Linked DNA regions of Astyanax mexicanus. The protein of the gene in region 2 interacts with the protein of the main gene of each other region in a biochemical or structural test. Links are inferred from orthologs where the notes say so. Each region holds a gene or a part of one and is shown on either strand. Other genes may lie near its edges.

The links.
Region 1: of the proteins of peli1b (region 2) and irak4, one has a biochemical effect on the other in vitro, tested with the Homo sapiens proteins (4 studies listed by BioGRID and IntAct). The link is inferred for Astyanax mexicanus from reciprocal best matches to the Homo sapiens genes PELI1 and IRAK4.

What each region holds. Positions count from the first base shown.
Region 1 is NC_064409.1:52,322,233-52,334,641, reverse strand, and holds the start of irak4 (interleukin-1 receptor-associated kinase 4), read right to left. Parts: upstream 5,149-12,409; 5' UTR 4,749-5,148; coding exon 4,585-4,748; intron 2,500-4,584; coding exon 2,354-2,499; intron 1,995-2,353; coding exon 1,818-1,994; intron 1,465-1,817; coding exon 1,304-1,464; intron 650-1,303; coding exon 594-649; intron 506-593; coding exon 391-505; intron 132-390; coding exon 22-131; intron 1-21.
Region 2 is NC_064421.1:30,823,959-30,837,238, forward strand, and holds the start of peli1b (E3 ubiquitin-protein ligase pellino homolog 1b), read right to left. Parts: upstream 5,177-13,280; 5' UTR 4,715-5,176; intron 1-4,714. UniProt on the Homo sapiens protein: E3 ubiquitin ligase catalyzing the covalent attachment of ubiquitin moieties onto substrate proteins. Involved in the TLR and IL-1 signaling pathways via interaction with the complex containing IRAK kinases and TRAF6.

The DNA.
Region 1 (12,409 bases), on a different chromosome or scaffold from region 2:
CAGAACTAGTAAGTGTTATACCTTTTCACATCTCGATGTATGTGGTTGTGTTGGTGAAGGTATTCCAGTCCTCTTGCTGTGCCCAATGCTATTGAACACCTCAACTTCCAGAAGAGAGGATCACTTCCCCCCTACATAGAAAGGAAAAAACTATGAATATGTCCTCTTTTAAAAACCCTGGATTCCTGAAATCAATTATTACGAGCACTCTTTGCTAATAAATAATAAAGTAAACTCCAACGCACTTGATCTTCTTGCTTTTTCACAGACAAAAGAGAATACTAACTTAGAGATGTGTAGCTACTACTGTTCCTTTCTGATCTTTCAGTGCCAGGCAGAATCTTTTTTTTTTGTAAGTGTGTAAGTGCAACATTTGCAGACTTTACTCACCTCACATGCTAGTCGATCCAGCAATGAACCATTTGACATGTAAGCATAGACTAAACATGGGTGCTGGCCGTCACTGGAATAACCCACCATATTCACCAGATTTACATGTTTTAACCTAAAAGAAAATGTGTGAAAAATACAAATTAACATATAATAATAACAATTAAACAGATGCAGTAAAGTTTCTGCTGCTAGTACTTTACCTCTTCAGTGTCTGAATCTCTTGTTTGAACTGAGCTTTCAGCTCTAATTCATCTTCCTGAAAGAAGAGCAGAAATGATTATCTCATTGCTGCATATAATTTAGATTTTCAACTTAAATATATCTGTTAAAAAATTCATTGAGATATTTACATTCACACACATATAATGAGGAATACTATCTGACTTACAATGATACAATGATAAAATAAAATCTGATTAGTACATAGTACATCTTAACGTAAGAAAAGAATGGTCCTGGAGGGCCGTCATATAATATATGCTAGTACTATCATGTTCTGTGTGATGTGCTCTGTGTGTGGTGTTTTGTACATTGAGTCACTTGTCTGTTACATTGACAATTCTGGAAAACCTGATGTTGCAGGTCACAATCATCACCAACGACTGTGCTGTCCACTGTGGGTGATAATGTGATCTGATGTATTTCTGGTACATATGTTACACTGTGGATCGAAAAGTATTAAATGCCTGCACAAATTCTAAAATGAAGTATCCCATCCATCCATCTGGCACTCACTATCAACCTTGGATGCAACATGATAATACATTTTAAACTGCCATGAGTGCTACCACTCCCGTGACTTTTGACATGTTAGTGTATATGGCTACAACTTACAAAAAAATCAGCTGCTGCTTATTTTGCTCAGGCTTTTTATAGCCCATAACTGTATATCTAGCATTCAAATACTTACTAAATTGAGTTTCTTCACTGCTACAGGTGTGGTGCTGAGGATGCCTTTGAACACAACTCCAAAGCCTCCCTCCCCGAGTCTCCTGCCTCCATCCGAAACTGGCCTTTCATCCCAGCTTTCTGTGATCACCGTCAGCTCTTGATATGTAAAAGTGTAGAATCCTGAATTCAGTAAAACAAGATTATTAAAAAATAATCAGGATTTTATATATACATATATAAAAAAATAGTTGAATATCAGCAGTAATTCTAACTTTCATTCAAGTCCTAAACCCATTCCTAATCAAAACAATGCTGAAATTTCACCCAACAGTTTATTAACTGTTGGATGTAGGTTTAAAGTAAATGTTAGGTTTATAATGTGATATTTTATTGCGAACTGACATTTAAACAGGTATTTGGTCGATCTCATCACATTTATTAGTGTAAAATGGATTTTGCTTTTTTGTATTGGGAGGCAAGGTCAAGTGTTGATTAAAAGGACAAAGCAATATACATAAAAAACATAGTCACACCTTCTTCATCAGGCTCCTGGTTCTCCTCTGGTTGTGTGGTGCTGTCAGGTGGGGTGTGATGTGCTTCTTCTGCTGCGAGTCTGAGGAGCTTAGTCTCCTCCCGGTGGTACTGAATGGGAGGATCTCTCTCTGCCCTCTGATTTGTGACAGGTGTTGGAGCAGGTGTTGCAGCTATATCTTATATCAGAGACACAATATTATTTTATCCAACTTATAATATGACAGCAATTCTACAACACTGATTCTCCATCTTTCATATACAGTTATAAGCAAGCGTTTGAGCATCCTGATTAAAGTGAAATGTTCTGATCATTTTCTGATCAAGTTCACCTCATTGACAGAGAATACACATTTTAATGGAAACTAAACTACACTTGCTTGATGTAACAATCTGGAGAAAATAAAACGTAATTATTAAAGTATGTTTCTTGAAAAAGATATGTAATTTATTCTCAACAACAAAACAAAATAGCAATAATAAATATCTGATCACCACCACTGTTGTTAAGCAGTTATTTAATTTATAAATCTCTTACCTGGCAGAAGGACTCTAGCAGGAGCAAACAGCTTGTTTCTGACAAGAATATCAACCAGTTCTCCAACTGTGCTGTTTGTGGTCCCCCAGTCATACAACAGCTCTACTGTGGGACTTTTACCCTGAGCCAACAGCCTTTCAAACCTCCTATTAATAAAAGAGAGTTTTGTTAATCTCAAAGCTGAAACTGATTCACATGGCAGGAAAAACTGAATGGATTAGACATATATATATATATAAATACATAATGTCAAGAGCTAATTACTTGAATTGATTGCCCTCTTAATGTGCTTGCGAGCATCAGTTGTAAAGTTGTGAAGAGGTAGAGTTGGTATACAGTCGAATCGAAATCGATCGAAATTATGTCATGGTCTCGAGCCTCGAAGTCAAAAAGATGATCGACGATCCCTCCCTCTGAGCTACGCAAGCATGCGCGCGTGCTACACAAATAGCGCTGCACACTGCAGCTGTGGACATTGTGACTGCTCAAAGAGCAGCCCTTTCTCCAGAGACATTCTCTTCTATCTCAGTTAAAAAAAAAATTTCATTCTCAGGGAACAAAAAAGTCTAAATATCTTATTTTTCATGTTTAACTGTTATAGTAGGATAGAGTTCAGTTTGTTAAGGCTCTAATTGTTCTATTATTTTGTACATGACTGTTCTTGTATTTTTTTATTATTTATTTTGTTATGTTGCTGTTTTATAGCGCTCACTGCTGCTACCAAAAAAAGCCACTAGATGGCATTCCATATATATCTTAATTAAATTATTTAAATTTGACCATTAGTGCCTAATGTGGTGTATTACAGAACACTTGTATCACTTTGCATCACTTACATCAAGCCCACCTTTTGAAATAAGATATTGTAAATTTGATGAATCAAACCAATGACTGACTAATCTAAAACTGGCATAGGCCTCTCTGCTGTAAAAAAAAGAAAATCGAATCGAGGATTTAGAGAATCATGACACCCCTAGTATACAGTGAACAACCCTATTTGAGTAATGTTTTGATCCATATGACAAAAACTATTTAACTAAGTAACAAAAAATACTTTTTTTAAAAGTAATTTATGTTGTTTTAACGCTGAAAACAACGTTGAATCAATATTTAATTTTAATTGGTTCTGCAAATGTTGAAATTTTAACGTTGAATCAACATTTAATGTTCAATGGTTGTGCTAACGTTGAAATTTTAGCGTTGAATCAACATAATGTCCTCAACCTTCTGCCTTCTGAATCAGCATTTTACATTTCATCACCATATATAATTTCTAAAAACGGTTGGATGGAGGAAAGAAAAAGTGTTTTACTTCTATTTGCAGGAACTGCTTTTTAATTTAACATCATGTTCATGTTCTAATAGTTTTACTGTTTTAGCGTTTTTGAGATCAGATGTTGAATCAGATTGGTAGTGGTGGGTAACTTTCGTTATACTCAGCTTTACTACAGTGATGTAAATTTATTGTTAACACTTTGTTAACCATAGGATTTTTTTGAGCTATTGTTTATTAAAGGTTAAACGTATGATGTTGAATCAACGTTGGGTAAGCGCAGTCACAAACACTATCAAAAACGATATGATGAAACTGGCTCTCATCAGAACCAGACCACGAAAGGAAAAGCAAGGGTTACTTCTGTTGCACAGGATAAGTTCATCAGAGTTACCAGCCTCGGAAACCAAAAGTTAACAGCACCAGAGAAAAGAGCCCTCTAAACATTTTTTTTTAAGTTTGCTACATGATTCCTTACAGACATACAAACATATATACAGCATGAAGTGTTGTAAGATTTTCTGGGAAAACACTGCACTGACTTTGGAATTGATAAAACACAGTGGATCAACACCAGCAGATGACATGACTCTCCAAACTTCACACTAGACATCAAGCAGTTCTCCACTATTTTTTCAGACTCTGGTCCACTGTGTTATATCAACGTTTATGGATATGAGGATTTCATTTTCCAGCAGGACTTGGCACACTACCCACACTGCCAAAAGTGCACAAGTTTCTGATTTTCTGATACAGTTTTCATTGGCTGTAGGCCACAATCATCAACAATAAAATAATAAACGCTTAAAATAGATCACTCTGTGCGTAATCCAGCTATATAATATGAGTTTTACATTTTAAACTGAATTAGTAACTAAAGTAACAAATCAACTGAAATAAATACACAGACCGACATTTATTTATACAAACTAATAAATGTTGAAGACTCCAGTAATACCTGAGGTGCAGCTGAGTGTATCTAGGTTCTCCTGTCGGTTTCTGTATGTCCATCAGAACAGTTCTCCACGCGTCCTGAGGGTCCAGGAAGTCTGAGAGGGTCCTGAGAGTGGAGCGACTGAGCTTCCTGATGAAGGTATCAGCTGTTACAGCGCTGCTGCTCATACTGGACCTCAGGACTCCCTCAACCTCTAATTAAAACCAGCTTCTTTAACAATACGCGGACTAAAGCCACACACACATTCACCGAGGAGCGAGTTTATGATGGCAGAGTGTGTGTGTGTTTAAGTGTGTGAGTGTGGGTTTTTCCCATATTGAGACACTTCCTCAGTTTGAAGTTATTTCCCCTTTAGCTACATCTGAACCTCTTCAACACGGAAACCAGCTCGCTCTCTCTCCTCACTCAGCTCAGGAGACAGAGCTTCAGCAGTCCTTTATCTCTGACACGTTTCTAATGTATCTCCAGCTCCTCCGCTCAGTCACAGCACTGCAGACTGGCTGCTCGGGTTTATGAGCGTCACCATGTAGGTAACTTTTAAAGTGAGATATCGATGGTGTTCGTGTACTGCTCAGTTCTGCCCCCAGTGGTGATTTTGCCCGTTTTGACCTCACTACCACTCTGGCCACAATCACATGAGGCTTAAGGTACAGAAAAACTGAAAAAGGTTAAAAAAAAAAAAAAAAAGTTTAGTGCAGGTATATACATACTGTACATGTTCGTTGTCCAATAAAACAAACAAATATTCTGTCATTTCCAATAAAATAATATTTGCAGGGGGGTCAGAGTGGTCCAGCAGGCTAAGCGCTGCCACTATGATCAGGAGATTGCCGGATATAATCCTGTTCATGTAGCTTGACATCAGCTGCCGGAGCCCTGAGAGATCACATCTCTGGGTGAGTAAAAGGCATGTGTGAGCTGACGTATCAGATCCGAGTCGTTGCGCTTACTTCCGAGCTCGCTGACTACATGGCAAATTCAAAAGAGGCAGTGATTGGCTTCACATGTATCGGAGGAGGCATGTGCTAGTCTTCATCCTCCTGGTGTTGCCTCACTAGTGATAGGGGGAGTCTTAATGAGTAGGTTGGATAATTGGCTTTGTTAATTGGGGAGAAAATGGGAAAAACAAAAATTAGAAAAAAAAACCTCTCTCTCTCTCTCTCTCTCTCTCTCTCTCTATATATATATATATATATATATATATATATATATTTACAGCAGTTATGTTGTTCTATTTACCCACAATTATTTATTATTTATACAATATACACCTACAAAATTTAACTGATTGGAAAAAGCTAAAAATTTCATTTCACACTGCTGTTTAAAAACAGCCACCTGTAAAGTAAGTATTGGGATTAAAATCCCAAATAGTAAGTGTGATATCAGTAATATCAGAATCGGTAATATCACTGTGTGACAGTAGAGGGCAGTATATGACTGTGAGAATGAGTACTGATCACACCATGCCATTCTCATTTAACAGGTGTGTTTTCAGGTCAGCTCTCATTTAAATAAGTATCTTCTTATTTCTCATAAAAATCACATTCATACATTTATTATTAATATATTAAATGACATTAATGAGTAATTATTTGTTCTAAATGCATATATGCATACAACCAGACTGTATGAAAGGCTGGCTAGAAAAAAAAACAAAGTGCATATGGAGTTTGTCAGTAAGCATCAGCATGAATCAGATAAAATAAGATTTTGTGGCCATAAAAGACAAAACAAACAAACAAAAAATAGCCAATATAAATCTTTCATGCATAATATGTATATAGAATATATATAAAAATACAAATTATAATATCATTGCTTTAGAATTAGATTGCTTTGCTAATAATAAGAACTGTAATGAGGGAGAGCGAGAGAGACAGATAGAGAGATGTGAGAGAGAGAGAGAGAGAGAGAGAGAGAGAGAGAGAGAGAGAGAGAGAGAGAGAGAGAGAGAGAGGAGAGGAAGCCCTCCTGGTGTTAGAAAATAAGAGATCCGGCCAAGAGATGCCAGAGCAATTAAAATCATCCAAACCATCCAAAGCAAAACATTTCACATAGGAAGTGGTCAGAGCCGATCATGTGATGTCAGAAAGACCTCTGTGTCAAAGTGAACCAGCATGTGAAACAGTAATCATAGCAATGACAGGGTGATGTCATCTTCAAGTACATTCATATACATTTATACATTCATTTATAATGCTTCATTTATAATGCTTCATTCGCACAGATTGTTCTAATGAGGGCAAAGCTGCTAATGTATCTACTCTATCTACTCTATCTGTAAATCATTTTTAACAAAAACACACCTTTTTAAATAAAACATTGGAGTTGGGGTTAACCCACAAATACTGCTCATCAGACTGTGAATATGAAGAAAAACTGTGAGAGAATTCAGAAAAAAATCCATGGGAAAAAGATAAGGTTATAAAAAAATCACAAGGTAGGAAAAGGCTACAATGTAAGCACTGCTGCATGAACTGTGAGGTAATAGAAGATCTATCACTACACCCAGTCAGTGTCTAAACAAATCTCAGTGTTATATGCTGTATATGTGCAGAATATGTACATATAAAATTGTTGTTTTTTTAATTTGTTGACTGCATTATTTACTTCACTGTTATTGCTGGTAGAGGCATAAGATCCAATTAATAGAATTTTCTAATATAGTTTTTATACTTTTGCATCACTATCCATCTATCAGAGCAAAAAGGGAGAACCTTTGAAAGAACCAACACTCACTTTGAATGAGCTGCAGAGTTCAGTGACTGAGACAGAAGTGAAGGTACACTAGGCAATGACATAAAACATATGCATACAACTGGACTGTATGAAAGAGTGGATAGATATGTGCATATGGAGTTTGTCAGAAGACATCAGAATGAATCAGCTAAAATAAGGTTTTATGGCCATAAGAGACAAAACAAATAAACAAAAAAAAAGCCAATACAAATCTTTTATGCAGATCTACATCTTGTCAGCAGCATTACTCAGCACAGTGTGTAGTCATAACTTCAGTGATGAAAGGGACTCCCCAACAAAACAGAGGAATAAAGAGTAGAATACTAGTATTATAATGCTAAGTCTTGGCTTGGTCTCGAAACCAGTCTCAAGACCATAAACATGCAGGCAGTTTCGTCCTTTTTTGGACTCATGGTGAAGGGCTGTTAAGATCAGCCGAGTCTGCTTCTGTCTAATTACATTACATTATATTACATTTGGCAGATACTTTTGTCTAACGTTACTTACATTAGTGAAGTACAAAAAGTAATAGAAGTTAAAGATAAAAACATCTTTAGATAGGGCCTAAAGGAGGTCAAAGGGAAATAATGGGATAGAGGAGTAAAGGAGGGGAAGAAGAAAATGAGGTTGGAAGTAGTTAGTTTGTTAGGGGTGTCTTTAAAGAGCTCTTACTCTCCTAACGTAGCTCTCCTAACGTAGCTCTAAGGTATCAGATTTATTTAATGTTATATTTTAGAAGATATATGAGATGTATTTATTCATTTCATGCACAATAAATTATGATGAATGTACAATGAGTTACAAATTATTCTATTTATTTATTATTAAAAAAAAGAAGAAAAAAACTAATTTGGTCTTGTTGTGTTCTCTCCCAGCCTCAGGCTTGATCTGGACTTTACTGCTCAACATGTTTTGGTCTTGACTAAAATATTAATAGTTACTTTGTATTGCCAGAATATAAATACATGACTACACGAAGGCAGGCACACAAACCTATAAAAGTGTAAATTATTATTCATTTATTGAGAAGCAGTAATTATATTTGTAAACATTAGATTTGTAACAGCACTATTAAGGTCTATATATATTTTTGCATTATTGTTAAGTATGCTATATTGAATTATGTGTGTGTTTGTGTGTGTGTGTGTGTGTGTGTGTGTTTGTGTGTTGCACATATCCTGTGGCCTGGGATTGTGGGAACAATCCTCATTCATATCACTGTCTGTGAGGTGTTCAGTGTATTTCCTCCAGGTAATCCAGGTTACTTCCACCTCCCAAACACATACATGATAGGTGCCTCTAGATCAAAGTGTGTGAGTGAATGTTTGTGTGTGGTGCCCTGTGATGGACTGGCACCTTGTCTGGGGGTATTACTGTCTGTCTGCACTCAAATCTAATATTGAGAAAGTTAAATTATATATATCCATATACTATCATATAAATATAGTATATACTATATATAATAATATGAACTTCATATACTTCCAACAATCTGCTTTATAAGCATATCAAGAATATTTTCAGTGCTTAAATACACACTTTTATCAAAGAGCACAATTAGTCCTCAATAATTGTATGTCCTAAATTAGTCCTGAATCATTCAGAAACTAAATAAAATTAACTTTATTATGAATATGAGTTTTTAAATAGTAGTTTTTAAGAATTTGCCAGTTTTTCATCTGCATTTTGTCTGCGTGTCAAAACATTTTGATACATTCTGCAACAAAAAATCTCTTTAAATATTTGGATATATAGTTTTTTTACCATATTGTCCAGTAGTATGTAGAACCACTGCAGGCTAAATAACTACATATGGGGATCTAGAATAATATTAATTTGTTAGCTCATTCAGTTCCTTGGATACTGTGAGCACTGGACTGTTACAAACCTTGGTGTTGTAGTTAGGTATCTTGCTGGGCAGCTTTCTAATTCAGTTGTCTTCCACTGCTGAGTTTCAGCTATTAGTGTTGTAGCTGATATGAATGAAAGCAGCCCAAAAACATGAAGAGAGTAGGAGAGAATGCAGGGGTGCAATTGAGAGAAAGCACCGGAATGAAAGCCACAAGAAGAGGACAGAGTCTATAGGCATTATTTGTCTTTCTGTAAGAGTCTTGCCAGCTTCCTCCCCCTCTCGCTCTGACAGACAGGGTGAGCCATGGGGGGCTATTCTCTCCATCTCTCCATTCTCTCCTCCTCACTATCTCGAGATCCTCTCCAAATCTGTGTGTCAAAGGAACTGAAGATTCACCATGCATCTGCATTCAGGAGGGGGAAGCATCGCTGTGAACACAGGCTAAATGGCTAAGGCACAGTTGTTGAACTATTTGGACCCGTCTGGAATTTCACAATGAGGATTTAACAAATAGAAAATTCTATTTGATTAGTATTGGGCTGGTTGGTTTTAAAGGACTAATCTTAGTGTGCTATATTTGTTATGAAGGGATAAATGCCTTCTATAAATACAGTTCTGGGGAAAAAAAAGACCACTTAAAAATTATATGTTCCTTTGATTTTTTACCAAATTAAAAACCTCTGGAACATAATCAAGAGGAAGATGAATAATCACAAGCCATCAAACCATGATGAACAGCCTAAATCTTTGCACCAGGAGTGGCATAAAGTTATCCAAAAGCAGTATGTAAGACTGGTGGAGGAGAATATGCCAAGATGCATAAAGAATTGTGATTAATAACCAGGGTTATTCCACCAAATATTGATTTCTGAACTCTTACATCTTTGTAAATATGAATTTGTTTTCTTTGCAATATTTGAGGTCTAAAAGTCTTGAGCTCTGCATCTTTTTTGTTATTTCAGCCATTCCTTATTTTCTGTAAATAAATGCTCTACATGACAATATTTGGGAGAAATGTTGTCTGTAGTTTATAGAATAAAACAACAATGTTCATTTTACTCAAACATTTACCAATAAATAGCAAAATCATAGAAACTGATTCAGAAACTGAAGTGGTCTCTTAATTTTTTTCCAGAGCTGTATATGCTTTAGTACAAAAAGGGCACTATGGATTTTTGATGGATGTAGGCCTATAAAACTTTCCTTTTTATTAAGAATCCACAGTGTGTTTCTTGGTTTCTTGAGCACACACAATTCTTTCCATTATGAAAACCTAATAGAGTACTATGGCCAAAGCCTGAAATGTAATCATTAATACAACCTAATCGTGTCTTAAGTAAGATTTTCTAGAAAACTCCATTCTCATTGGCAAACACAGTAGGGGTCAAGGAGGCAGCTGCCCTTGCTCTAGTGCATCCAAACCCTATAAGTGCTTTTTATAATGGCAAAAATAGAGTGCCCCTTCTTAAAATAAATGATGTTGATCATTTACCTTAATGAGTGCCTGTGTATGGCTAAATGGTAAATGGTGATGCTATAAAGTGCCTTCTATGCCAACTCTATCAGAGAGTGTTCCAAATGGTGTCCTTTTCAGTAGAGAAAATAGGATGAGTTGCTGTAAAGACAAAAATGCCCAAAAAGCTTACACTAACTGTTCTCGTTCGTTACTAGCATTGACTACCAGACATGTAGCTAACAAAAACATTACTAATATATTTTGTTGTTAGCGTACCTGCTGTTCAATTACACCATTTGTAGAAGTCAGATAGGCCTAATTTGTCTTATGTAAATTATCACTTACTGCTGTCTTGTTTTTTTTCCTTTTCTTGCTTTGTTTTTATTCAATCAAATAGTAAATAAAAAAAGTTTGGATTCTCTACATAAATTCTTTAAATAACATGCAAGAAAAGCCTTTAAACCACCACAGTTTCTGCAAAAAACACTGTATGCCAATTATATTGCAAGCTAGAGCATGAGTATTATATTATATTATTATTATTGTATATTTATTTTGACTATTTTAAATGACCAGTTTTCTGTTCCAACACATAGAGGGCAGTAGTGGCATGTCAGAATACTGTGTTTGACATTAAAAGCCGTGTGACTGAAGTAAGTGATTGTTGTGTTGGACAACAACACAAACCTCTAGTTTAACCACTGTTAGCGTTAGCAAAGCTAATATAGGTAATTAATGTAGATAGAAACAGGTGTATTCCATGCTCCCAGTGTTTTAATCTGTGAACTAATGTTAGAATAAGGTAGCATTCTGAAAGTGTTGCTAAATGCTAACAAGCACACTAGCTTCTGTTCAGGCTACTTTCCTTAGCTCCTTTTAATCTTTTAAAGGATTTATTTTGAAGGCATGTTAAGAACCAGTCTCCTCCACATATAAGTCACCCCATTGCATTGATGTAGTGTCACATTCAATCCTCATTCCAGCCTTCACCTAGCCAGAGGAACCTTCTTATCAGCACAATAGGATTTCAGAAAAGCTCCTCCTGATATCTTGTGTTCTTTTGTTCAGGTTCGGACAGGATATAGCCTTGAGTTAAATCCCTGGGAATCAGTGGGCAGTTACAGCTCAGTCCTGTGACCTTTGATTACTGAACAGTCTCTTTCATTATCTCTAGTGAATCATTGATGGGGGCTAACCAACACCAGTGGTACTTGTTTGGGATGTGGACGGGATGTGGGGGGGGGGGGGGGGGGGGGGGGGGGTATGTGTAATTGACAATAGCTGCCCTTTAACCTTGATGTGAGATCAGCGTTGCAGTTTCATTCATGAGGTGAAGGTTAAGATTTGGGGAGGATGATTTTTAGAGCAACACACAAGGGCAACGTCTGTTTTAAACTGGAAGTGGAGGGGGTGGGGGGTGCTAGCCAGGCTCTTTGACCTACCAGCAGGGACCCTGTAATCCAGTGTTCCTCACTACTAATCCAGGGATGAGAATGAGAGCTCTAATAACATTTCTTAACAGGGTACTCTCTTTTTTACTCCGGCTAATAAAGTCCTGTTTCCTGCTTTGTTACCCAAACTAAGAACATAGACAATGGTGAGTATACTTGAGTAAACGTTTTGCATAATTTTATTTGTAATACATTCAATTGGTGTATTTAATTATTCACAGAAGTAATTATGATTTTTTTACAGCATCCTAAAATACATATGTATGCCCAATGAGGTCACTGGAGAATGCATGACTGTACTTTTAACCACAATACTGTGTAATTGCT
Region 2 (13,280 bases):
AGGAAACTCAAACCAGAAGAAGATAAAGAATAATTCAGTGAATTCCAAATTCTTTAGAAAATATTGGACATCAGCTCACAATTTTTTCTGCTACATATAGTACTAAACCACCACCCGCTCATGTCCCCACTGTCTGACCCACTTTCCACTACAATCATAATCCCCTAAACTTCACCACGCACAGGCAGACCAAACTTGCAGGATAGCCACATTGGAAAAAATATCTGGGATGATGCAACACTGCAGATTCCTTCCTGAAAATAAATAGTGATGGGGAATAGATGAAGCAAACACTACACTAAGCTGCAGCTTTAAAAGAGCATGTCCAGTAAAATTGCTAAAACTGATTAAAAATATTCAGATTTTCTTCTCTATAATATGAAACATCTGAAACAAAACCATCAAATTTTAATTTGCTTATGATGAAAATATGCCAACAACCCTTACATTACATATTTTAACAATGGAACAATCCTAATAACAACTATAAACTATATATATCCTCAACAAGTTGGTAAATAAGGAGACTATTCTGCTGGTTTCACTGACTATTATCATATATGACTGACTATAGTAATATTTATACAACAGAATTTGTCTTGCAAGTTCAACATAAGTTTATACAACTATACAACACCTGATTATTTCCATCACGCAAGTGTGATGCATCAAAACAATGCTGCTTGCCAGCTGTTTCTCATGACAAATGTACATCCTGGAGCTATCTGGCACCATTCCCCCTCAAAAGTACCAGGTTTCTTCACACGGTATCCATTTAACCAGCATAACCTTTTCTTTGAATTAAAGAAAAGGTGGGCAACACACTTGCAAATCTTTTCCGTTTTGGCTTCTCCAACGGTGGCGTAGCATGAGAAAGTGAGTGATGTTACAGGGCAAAAAAAAAAGTGTGTGACAGAGCTGTATCAGCAGAGGAAATAAAGTTATGACCGTGTTATGACTGATTCATCCTCAGGCTGCTCGAATTGAATACATTATCATGGTCTCAAGGACTCTTTATTTGGGCAGTAAGTGTTGATTAGCTCTAATATTAGATTAAAAGTATTCTTGATAACTACTTTAAATTAAACTATTTTTGTTGAGAGAATTCTTTTTATAATACATGTGATTAGATGCCTAAAACCTTTATAGAGCTGTGGCAGAAGAGTCTTCCCTTCCGGTCTTTTTTATCAAGCCATTATACGTCCTCACAGCTATCTGATCTGCAGGTCCAGCTGGATTTAGAGGAGATATCACCTTTCCACGCCAATGCTGACACTGAGCTGATCCGATCTATGAACTAGAGTGCAATCTACTGCCTAGAGCAGCTAAACATGAAACAAACACGGTAAGTGCTGCCACCCCATAATGCTTTAAGTTAGGCAGCTGCCAGTTTTTCAGCTAATAACCCTAAATTGAGGTCAAGAAAATCCCCTGACCCTTGCTGCTCCCAACATCAGTCACCCATGCTTTTCATTACTGCTTACAATGTTTAAAAAATGTAAATGTAAGTAATTAAAATAACTTTTTAGATTCTCATCAATTAACCCCTATGACTAGATGTTATGACATACACATTTCTAAATCTCTTACATAAGACTGTCTGCAGACCAGGTTTGACAGGATACTCTGCTTCATATGATAGATATCTGACGCCAGACTAAAACGACAGAAAAAAATAAACAACGAAAGGCCAGCTATGAAGGTCTAAGATCTTAAGTTCCAGTAAAATATTTATGCTACTCTCTTCTCCCATTCCATTCCATTTTTGAACAATTTGAGCAAACTGGCTTTGGGTTTCGAGTGAATCAGGATGACGACACCAGTTTCGGAGCGGCCCGTGCTGAGTTTCCCCGCAGTAAGTCAGGTCTCTTATCTATATTTCAGAGTGGAAAGTGACACCACTGGCTGGGCGCCAGCATTCAAGGACCCGTGTTTATTTGATTGCATTAGAAAGGCATGTTCCACACCCTTTTCCTCCAGCCAATGCACTCCGCAGACTCAGCTGGACCAGGAAAAGGAGCTCCATCAATGTCCAGGCTGCACAAAAAGGTGTTTCAACATGGGTCGTTAAACATTTTAACCCATCCGTGCCCAACATCGTAATTTAAAATGATGAGGAGGAAAAAAAAAATCTCTATGCGTGTTCTGGCTGGTCTGAGACGATGTAATTTTGTATAAATGTGCCACAGATGAACAATCTAAAAGTGTGTTTCAGATATGAGAGATTTAGATTTTAATTCATTCTAAATTTTGAATAGATTTTTCCATTTTTGTTGTCGTTAAAAAAAAAAATAGGCCCACAAGTTACATTTTTTTCTGAACCATACAGTTTAACTGACGTGATGAACTTCTTTAGATTTTAGTACAAAAAAAAAGATATATATATATAATAATTAGTTGGTAAAGCTACAAAAAAGCAGCATGAAATATTTTAGCTTGTTTTCACAAAGCAGAAAGTATAATAATGTCCAAAGAAATCGAGCAAGCGAACAAGCTCACCAATGTCAGAAACCAACAGTACATACACATCAATGATTGGCAACCAGAGCTGAAGAATAATAATTTAAGCAGAGCTCCACACAAAGCGGACTCCTGGTCGTCCATAAGGCCTGAGGGAAAGGGGGGGTTAAGGATGTCAACAAAAGTGATTCAAAGCAGCACGTCAACACGGAACAAAAGCCCCATTCGGCCAGCCAGATGCTGAGCCTGGAGGACGCTATCTGACTATGCAAATCACCCCAGGGTGGGGGGGTGAAATTCAGCAGAACAATAGCCCGACACAACAGTCCAGAGGGCAATGCAAATAGTCAGAAGCCAATCCAAACTGCACTGTTAAATACATAACCACTTTATCCAGTCATCTAAAGCTGTACTTAAACATTATCATTTACATTTAGGACAGGTCCAACAGGTTGCTACGCAAAAGCTGTATACTGCTGCAAATGGAATGAACCATTTAAGCCATTAACTATTAAAAACACTACCCTAGAACTTGTCTTGAGGGTATCATTTCTAAAAAGTCAAATAAATTAAAATAAAACAAATCTAAAGTTTCTACTGAATTGTGCTGATGATGACTGGTTTTGCTGACATACAATCATGGCCACCTTGACCACACAAACTCACTGAGTATAACTGAGCTGGTTGACCACCATGAGAAGTTTGTCCACCAAACTAATCCACCACTATGACCAGCTTGACCAAACTAATCAAAGAGTAAGATGATAGCTGTGATTTTCTTTACCAGATCCATAAAACCAGTCTAATTGCATTACCAGGAGCACAAATTTTTAATGGAATTTTGATTATGTATAATATATATTACAGTCAATAGCTAAATGCTCATTAGCATTAGCATTTGTATCAGTCGGAATATATTTACGGACGTAGTCCTGGATTTTGTACTAGGCAGCATTGCAGCTGAGATACAACTCCAATTTCTACTCTTAAAAAAAGTAGCTATAGATGTTGGTAACTTATGTATTTAATGGTACGTACAATTCTGTGTAAATCAATGGTAATATAGGACTAGTCAGAAATATATTAGGGATAATGTGGTCCTGGTAATATGACTAGTATAGATCTGATATTATAACTTGTAGGCCTGTCAAGATAAGAATTTAGTGTGGACAATATTTCATACTAGAAATTATTGCGATAAACATTATTATTGTCATTTTAAGACAATTAAACGACACTGATATAATGATAATAGAATAGCATAATAAAGCAATTATAACTTTTAAGGGCAACAACATTTTAATAAATAGTAATTTACAGTTTGTGAAATATATAAGCTACTTTTTTTTCTTCACCTACTGCAGTCAACACTGTGTATGTGTATGCATGTCACTTATTATGTTAGTTATTAAAGATATTATATTATCTTTTATAGAGTATATTATAACTGTCATGTCCATTTATTGTACTTTAAGTCAATAATGTAAATACACTGACAGGCTGAACTACATGTTAAATAGTTGATATCTGAACTTACAAGCACTGCAAGGCAGATATTTTATGTATTATTACTGTAATTTAAGTTTTTACCATTAAAACACAGTAACTTACTGAGTTAGTACTTGTATAAATGGTTTAGACTAAAACGTATTGTGTATATTATAGAATATTAATTACAACAACTAATTATATCACGATACAATAAAATGCTGTCAAACTGTATTGTCCATCTCTTACTAGCTAACTAGCTACATATTGCAACAAAAAAGCTAATTCTGTGGAAAATTGTATAAAAAAAACATGGTTAGCATTATAATTGACACTTTTTATTAATTAACCCAAAGAACATAAGTGTATAAAAGGTGTGTTTTACACAAAACAGCTTGGTAAGTCAACTAAAATGAAAAAATAAAACAAAGCTGACAGCACCAGATACTTACAAATACGGTGATATCGTGATATTGTGTTACTATAGACTAAAAAGCTTGTGCAGGTTATAGAATATTACGATAACAAATTAACGCTGTATCACTATGCAATAAAATACTGTCATACTGTATTGTCTTTATTACAGCTAAGAAGCTAGTTAATTCATGGGAAAATGTTAACATAACATGGTTAGCATTTCAATTGACGAATTTGGCCAGCTAACCCAAAGAAAATAAGTGTATGAAAGATGTGTTTTACACAAAAACAGCTTGGAAAGTCAACTAAAACGTAAAATGAAACAAAGCTGACAGCACCAGATACTTACAAATTCGCTGGTTTCTTGTTTTTATATCTTTAGTTGTATGCACCGCTTTTCTTCTAGTCGTTTCTCAGAGAGGAGTCCGTTACAGCCGTTAATAATTTTAAATTAAAAAACTGTAAAAATGGTCTGTTAGCCGTTAGCTCAATAAAACGGTTCACACACACACAATACTACAGCTAGCTAGCCCAGTTGCTAAGTTGCTAACAAAGGCAAGGTATGAGGAGTTCTTTCAAATGTCAGAAGAATAAACACGCGAGCAGCGCGCTGTGTTTCTGGGTCTGACCCGGTTTCTGTATCTGACCCGGTTTCGTGAAACCCCTGCTCTCTAAATTCTCCCCACAGACGGCAGGTCATAAATAAGTGCAGCAGCGGCGGCGGCGGCGGCGCTCCGCTCTCCCCCTGCAGCTCTGAACATAAACACACACTGTGCTGCTGCTGCTGCTGACTGAGTGCTGCTGCTGCTGTGTAGTGGATGGAGAACGGGGAGAAAAGCTGCCAGCGTCACTGATTACTGTCAGATGCATTGTGGGAAATGTAGTTAGCCGGCTCAGCTGGCTAACAAAGAGAAACCTCAGCTAGTTAGTTAGCTGGTTATGTAGACGCTAACTTTAGGAAAAATGTTAATATTTTCTGCCAAACTCTTTTGAAATTCCTTTTTTTATTCAAAATTTTCTCTCAATCCTGACTAAAAAATAGCGTTAAAATACTGTAGCTGACACGTTCTTGAAAATGACAATGTTTTTTTTTAAATATAGACTGTTTATAATAACTATTTTATCATTGAAATATAAAAATTACTTAATAAATAAACATTAAAGTCTGACTTTTCACACATATAAACTCATATAAAATCCATAGAGTTTAATATGAGGTCGGCACACACTTTGCAGCTATAAAGGGTAACTAAACCCCCTGACTCCACCCTCAGCTCAAATAAAAAAAAGAAGAAAAATGGGAGGGGTAGTTTTTTAAGAAACACTGGGGTGATGTATGGGTTTAGGGGCGTGGACAGAAGGGAGCGCTGATTAAGCTGAGCAGTGTGCCTCTGATAGTGGTGAGACGAAGATGGTTGGACGTCCACAGGGGCCGGTATTATTAATTGACTGATTTGCATACCAAAGTTCACAGACACAGCATCCTCGCCTATAGCACAGTTGAACCTGTGAGGGCACTGCAGAGTTGGAAATGAATGCAATAAAAGTGTTTTTTTAAAGGTTAGGACAGGTTTATAAAAAATTAAGCAGGTTCAGGGGTTAAATCGATTTATTTAAATCACAGTGTTTCAATACACTGCCCTGAGAGAGCACAATTGGCCTTGCTGAGTGGGTAGATGGCGCTGTGTACCCACAGCACTCCAAAGGGTGATGTCAATCAGCACAAGGAGTCTGTGAGCTGATGTATCAGAAACAAGTCGCTGTGCTTTCCTCCAAGTGCGCTGTGATGCTACTCAGCAATGCTGCATCAGCAGCAGTTTGTAAAGAGGCGGTGGCCGACTTCACATGTATCGGAGGAGTCTTTACCCTCCTGGTGGTGGGGCATCAACACTGCATAAATTGGGAGAAAAAATGGGATTAAAATTAAAAATAAAATGATTTGAAAAAAACATGTGACTGTCCCAAATCAAGTTTTGTTACGTCACACAGTTTCGAAACGTTTCATGTTTCAAGTCCCATGTTTTGTACCGAAATGTTTCTAAATGAGAGCTGAAAATCTTTGTGACAAACTGTGTTTGTTGTCAACATGACAAGCGACAAGATTGGCCCTTATTAAAAGAGAAAAAAACATTGTATTTGAAACATTGGTTTTTTTTGTGGAGATCACACAAACTGCATTGCTTTATTATCTATTGCTCATTACTGGTCATACCATTATTTTACAAAAGCGAAATGCACCCTCCTTGGTCAATACTTAGTAATTTAACATAAAAAAAGTGGATTTTTGTGGCAAGGGCGGAGGAAGAGGTGTTAATCTCATTAATATTCTTCAATTGGAACCATATTTTATGCATGTGTCACCACCAATGCAGAATTCTTTCTTGGTTTCTTTCATGCAACAACTTGACTGTAAATGTTCTTATTAAATGGACACCTGAACATGTTTGCTTTCTTCTCCTTCCTACAGCATTCTCCTGCTTTGAGGTCATCTATTATTATAATGTTTAGTGTCAGGCAGCTGCTTAGAGAAGCAAGCCCATGGCCGATGATTGTTGAGATTAGGTTTGAGGATAAGGAGACTTTACAGAGGTTGAAAATGTGCAAAATCTGATTCTTTCTAACAACGACTATAAATAAGCCATTGCCCTAAAAAATTGATTAAGCTCTAAGACCTTGATAGAAATAGTCTGAGAGCTACTTTTTGTATGTTTTGTATGATGCTACTTTACTTTTGTACACTAAACCTGCCTAAAATGTTTAAAATAATGTTTCATCTTCAACTTTTTAACCGTTTGGAGATCAGTTCATCTTCTACTCACTAAGAATAGAAATGTTACCTTGGTCAGAGGCAGTGGTGTGCTCAGGGGGGAAAAAGGGCACTTTTTAGCGCACGTGGAACACTTCATTATAAAAAAAATGTGATATATCATTGATTTGGGCTAGAGCGGCTAGTTTATTTGGTGACCAGTCGGCTAAAGATGCTTAGTAGTTTGGTGCTGTATGAGACATTTTACTGCACAACAAAATGATTTCACGTTGGACTTAGAGGGTAAACGGTACGATTTTACTTGATGTGTATGTTACCTGGCTGGTGGGACACGGGGGAGAAGAAGCCTATCTGTTGCCGTGCGTGCTGTGCTGAAGACTCGCTGAACTGAACTGCTGCTGCAGCGCAACTAATGTGCCTTGCGCGCCACCGCGCGGGGTCACGTGACAGAGGAAGAGAGAGGTCGGGTGTGTGCGAGCTGATTTCAGGGCATTCTGTTTTCACTCGTTTTTAATCGCTCAGGTTTTCAAAAGATGATTTCAAACCGGCCTCAGTAAAATCTTAATAATAATAATATAAAAAAACGAAATTTCAAAGGGCACTTTGGTTGATAAAGGGCAGAGTTGGTGGTGCTTAGCACCACCTGATGTCTATGTCTGCACGCCTCTGGTCAGAGGTGACCAAACTTTTGAATGCCACTGTACATGCACTGTTTTGTTTAGTCCGATTCATAGTTGTCATTGCTGCTAGGTTACATGTTCAGCCTCTTAAGCTCTAAATCTCTGTGAGGAATAATAGGCCACCATGATCACCGTACAGCAGCTCAGGATGTTCAGACAGGCCAGACACACATAAACTAAACCTCTGACTGAACTCTGTGGTGAAGGTAAACAGAAACACACACACACACACACACACACACACACACACCCAACAAACCCATGCTCTGTCATAAGGCCCAGGGCTATTCGGGCACATTAGCCAATATACACCCACATGCAAACAGAGAGGTCTGGTTTGTGACACAATCCAAAGATGAGCACACTGTCGTCCACTGGAAAGCATTTTAAAAATACCTCAGGAGTGTCATGTGACTATAACTGATGCTGTCTCATTACACCTGTAAGTGCTATCTTTTTGCAGTAGCTGATAAAATCACAGTCCCAATTAGCACTTTAACACAACTCTGTCTTTCTCTTTTTCTATCTTTACTTTTATTACTATTTTTATGCTGAACATAACATGATACACTTACCCTGTTCAAAAAGAGCCAGAATAATGAAAACGAATTTGCTTGTTTTTTTTATTTTATTTATAATTTGACATTTGAGATGGAAGTCCAACTAGTCTCAGCAGCCACTTCGGTAACAAAAAACTGTTTTGTTTAGTAATTGTTGCTAAAACCCAACTTAAACTCGCAATCATGCAAGAGTATGCTGCACGTTTGCACTGTATGTTGTCTACTGTATTGTTGTTCCATGTTGCACCATGGGTCCGGAGGAACATAGTTTCTCTGCATGGTGTACCTAAGCCACGTGCCTAAGCCATGTGTGTGTGAATGTATATAAATATAAAATTATTTTTTAATACATTTTACATTATTAATGTGCCATACCATATGTCTGAGCATAATACGTAAGTATTTCAGCATAAAAGCACATATTTGAAATTATGTATCATTACTACATTATTAACAAACCAAACCGTGTGAAAATGAGGTAAAAAAAAAAAGAGTTGTGATTATAGGTGTATTAAACACCTTCCTCAGTACTGCTAAATGCACTGAGGGCGCATGCTTGACTCCTCCATTATGGCGGCCGGCTGACATGCCAGCTTCAATAGATGGCGTCAGTCGAAGCGGCATCTGTGTATACATGTCTATGGTCATTTCTCTGCAGTGTATGCCATATTGTGTCACAGGAAACAGTCACCCCAGTTTAGCTTTCTACTCCTTTAGTTAACTGCAGTTAAACTACATGACAATTTATGCAACACTTTTCACGAGAAGACGCTCCTGTCTAGGTGTTAACTTCTGTGAGATGGTAGCAGTTCCATCTTTGTTCATTTTTTTATGAATTTGCTTGAGTATTCTGACTGATAAGTAAGGCTTTACTGATCTTGTATCGATAAGCAAAGCTTTGCTTTGTAGGCTAAACCTTTCTTGTGTAAAAAAAAAAATCTCAGGTATTTTTGTCTCTCTTTTCCATATATTGCCATTGTTGACAGAATGAAAAGGGAAGTTTTTTTTGTTAAGTAATGCTGGGCACCTGTGTAAAGAATATCGTCGCTGTCCAATGAAAAACACTTATCTCCATTTTTGTAGATTTATGGTTTACTACATAATTTGAACAGACAAACTGTCCCTTACACTGTGCCAAAATTTCTTGATGAACGGACCAATAGAAATGCTTCAAAATGACCTGAAACAAAACTCTTTTTACATTGACTTTCATTGAAAGTTTACAAGGTTTTTTTCTCTCTCCTGTAAAGTTGCTGTTTTGGAGATAAGTGTTTTTCACTGGACAGCAACGATATTTAGAATCACCTGGGGTATAAATTGTGTTAATAAAAATGTTTTGGTCTAAACTCTAGCTTTGATCCTTAGCCTTTCATTGGGGTGTACTCATTTTTGCAACATGGTCTTGAATGAATTTCGTAGAACAATTAAATTTTTATTTGTGTAAATTAACAAATCCTGTCTGCAATCAATGGTCCAAGTTTGAAGGAGTATTTTATAGTATATTATTAGTATAGTATCTCATAAAAAAATCAACTCTGAAAGGAAACTAAAGTTTTTATGAAACATCTGTTGGGGTTTACACATTTATAAAATTAGAATTTTTATTTTACAAAACATAACAGGTCGGCAAAAGCTGTAAGTACCCTCTTAGCTGTGGCCCAACAGTTGAAAACCACTTCTTTAAATACAGTTCGGACTAAACCCAATGCAAATATATGCATTTAATTGCATAATAATCATTTAATTATGCAGAAGTAAAAAGTAATCAGTTGAATTGCCCATTAAGCCATGAGTTAAAACTGAAGGACTAAGCCTAACTGATGTTTCTGGCCTCCTGATAAATCCAGCTTTATGAAATTCCCCTCTGGTCAGCAGGTCAGAGCTGGGCCATGTTATGACATTCTCATATTCCAGTCCAGTAATAATGACGCCAGTCAGGCGAGTAAACAAATAAACAATCCAGTACACAACCCAGTCTGAGATTAACTGTCACGCGTCATCACATCAAGACGCAGTGACCTCGGGTCAGTGGACACACTCAAACACACACACAGACACACAAGTGCTCAAACACACACCCTGCATACCTGCGATGGCAAAGATAAATCAGTTTACATCTGACTGTCATTTGTATTTACGTCGCCACAGCAACAAAACCAACACCTCACCAACACCGTTTCTAAAGTTCTGAGCCAGGAAGCATGAGGGCACGCACACAGGAACACGCACCCACACCCACACCCACACACACACACACACACACACACACACTCAAGGTTCCATACAACACTTTGATCTTTCACACTCACATGCATTATGACATCACAGTGCAGCTCAATAATAACTATTCCTGTTTAAAATGCAGTTTATATGATTTATATTATAACAGCCAGATACACAATGTTGTGTTAAAAATAAAAAATGCAAAGAAATTTTTTAAACAATAGTGCTGTTTAGGTGCTCTATGTCTGTGAGTTTTACAAGTTGCATTACACAAAAATAGGTATAATTTGCTCCTTGGCACTTCTTATATTTGTGGTGTGCCATTTACTTTTTCTCCACTGCTGTGAATACTAACAGAACCTTGAACATCCACTCATTGGCAGCTGTAAACTTGCAATTGTTGACTAGCTGAGAGACACAGAAGTAGCATCTGAAGTGAAGGAAATATGCAGACTGAGGCAGTAGAGTATAATTACAGGATTTTACACCAATATGATTTGAGATACATAGCATCATAGTTCTGGAGCTTCACAAAAACCCTTTAATAATAGGACTCACAAGTTTAAAAATTGACTTTAAGTTTTTAGTTGGCCTAATTTGAGTTATATGAAATGTGTATTGTTTTGAGATCAGAGATACAATTTTTCGACTCTCATTTGGAAAATGTCTCCATCTCATTTTGGGTCAGTCCGGATCTGTTACCGATGTGATACCATGAAAAACATAGCAACAGCTGCGTCAAACCAAGAGCTGGGGGATGAGGGGAGGGCATCGCAGGACAGAAATTGAGGGAGATGGAAACAGAAGAGGAACAGAAAGTTGAGGGGTGGGGTGAGGGACCGTGGTCTGACAGGATTTGGGTTGGGGAGGGGGGATGTGACTGGATTAAGTGATAGGTTCCCCGCTGGCATGGTTAACAGAACACTTCATATCCGTACAGTTCTGTGTTTGAGAGGGGGACTCTCACTGTTGTCAGCCAGCCATGGCAACTGTAGCCACGGGCACAGATATGTTGACTGAGTGTTTGGGACGTCCCGAAGTAGGAAGGGGTAAGAAAACGAAGCAGTCTCATTCTGTACATGTTATACATGCATAAGTCTGTGAGTTTCAGTGCTGCAGACTGCTTGAAATGGTGTGAAAAAGTTCTTGTCCAAGGTTTAGAGGCACCAGGGTTTTCAGAATGCTATTTTCTCTGTTTGAGGCTCATATCCAGAGTTGCCTGTTGACTCTTATTATTGTAGTGTGGTGTGCCTGCCTACTCAGCAGCTAATCACTTGGCATTATTAACCTAAAATAAATACAAATGTATACAAATGTAAATATTCTTATCCACAACTATTTGCAATTATTACAACTGCGAGCTAGCAAACTAGACAGAAGCTGGCATTCATACAATAACAAATACAAGTGTTCTTTTGGCTGAATACAATCAAATTCTCACAGACATCTTCCAACATCTAGTGTAAAGCCCTCTTAGAAGAGTAAAGGCCCCCAGGGGACGAGATTCCTAAAAATGTTTTTAAAATTTACGAAAATCCTCTCTTATGTTCTACACTACATGGACAAACTCCATACATTAGAATGGGATGGTCCATAGGAATATAAAAAATAAAAGACCACTTAAAAATGATGAGTTTCTGTAATTTTATCAAATTGAAAACTTCTGGAATGTAATCAAGAGGAAGATGGATGATCACAAGCCATCAAACCAAGCTGAATTGCTTGAATTTTTGCACCACGAGTGGCATAAAGTTATCCAAAAGCAGTGTGAAAGACTGGTGGAGGAGAATATGCAAAGATGCATGAAATCTGATTAAAAACCATGATATTCCACCAAATATTAAATTCTAAATTTTTGTAATTTCAGCCATTTCTCATTTTCTGCAAATAAACGCTCTAAATGACGAATTTTTATGTGGAATTTGAGAAAAATGTTGTCCGTAGTTTATAGAATAAAACAACAATGTTTATTTTACTCAAACATATACCTATAGCAAAATCCGAGAAACTGATTCAGAAACTGAAGTGGTCTCTTATTTTTTTCCACAGATGTATTTGGACATGTGGTGTAAATATCCCAATTTGATCAGCTGAACATCTTCAGCAGAAATCGGAAGGCTTGTAACGCTCAGTGGTTCCAGACCAGGTTCACAACCTCAGCAGTCAATGACTTCATACTGTCATTTTCTCTTTTATATACTAGTATATACTATACAAGTATAAGACTGACGTCAGACATCCTCTACCCGTGATCTCTTCTCTCCATAGTGTTAAAGCAGCTCCTTAGGACCTGCAGAACTATCTATAGACCTATAAAGTTAATTCCACATATAGGTGAGATATAATTCAGAGCCGCTGGCAGTTCACTCCCCAACCCTGTCGATAAAATTGTGTCAGAGTGGTGAAAGTTTAACTCAGTGACTATATAGAAAGCATGTATAGAAAGCATGTACATTACAGTGCCTCTGCTGGTTGATTACAGTATGATGTGTAGCTCCGCCCATTCCCATATGTTTCAATAACAAAACAGTCAATTTCCATGTGCTCTACTGTAAACCCAATGAATGCGGTCTGAGACAGTAAATGAGTAGATAAGTCTGGCAGCACCTCTGGTCTCTACTGTGCAGACTTTGCTTTTAAATTTGGACAACATGGTGAACATTACTGGCTTTTTTTCTATAGAGC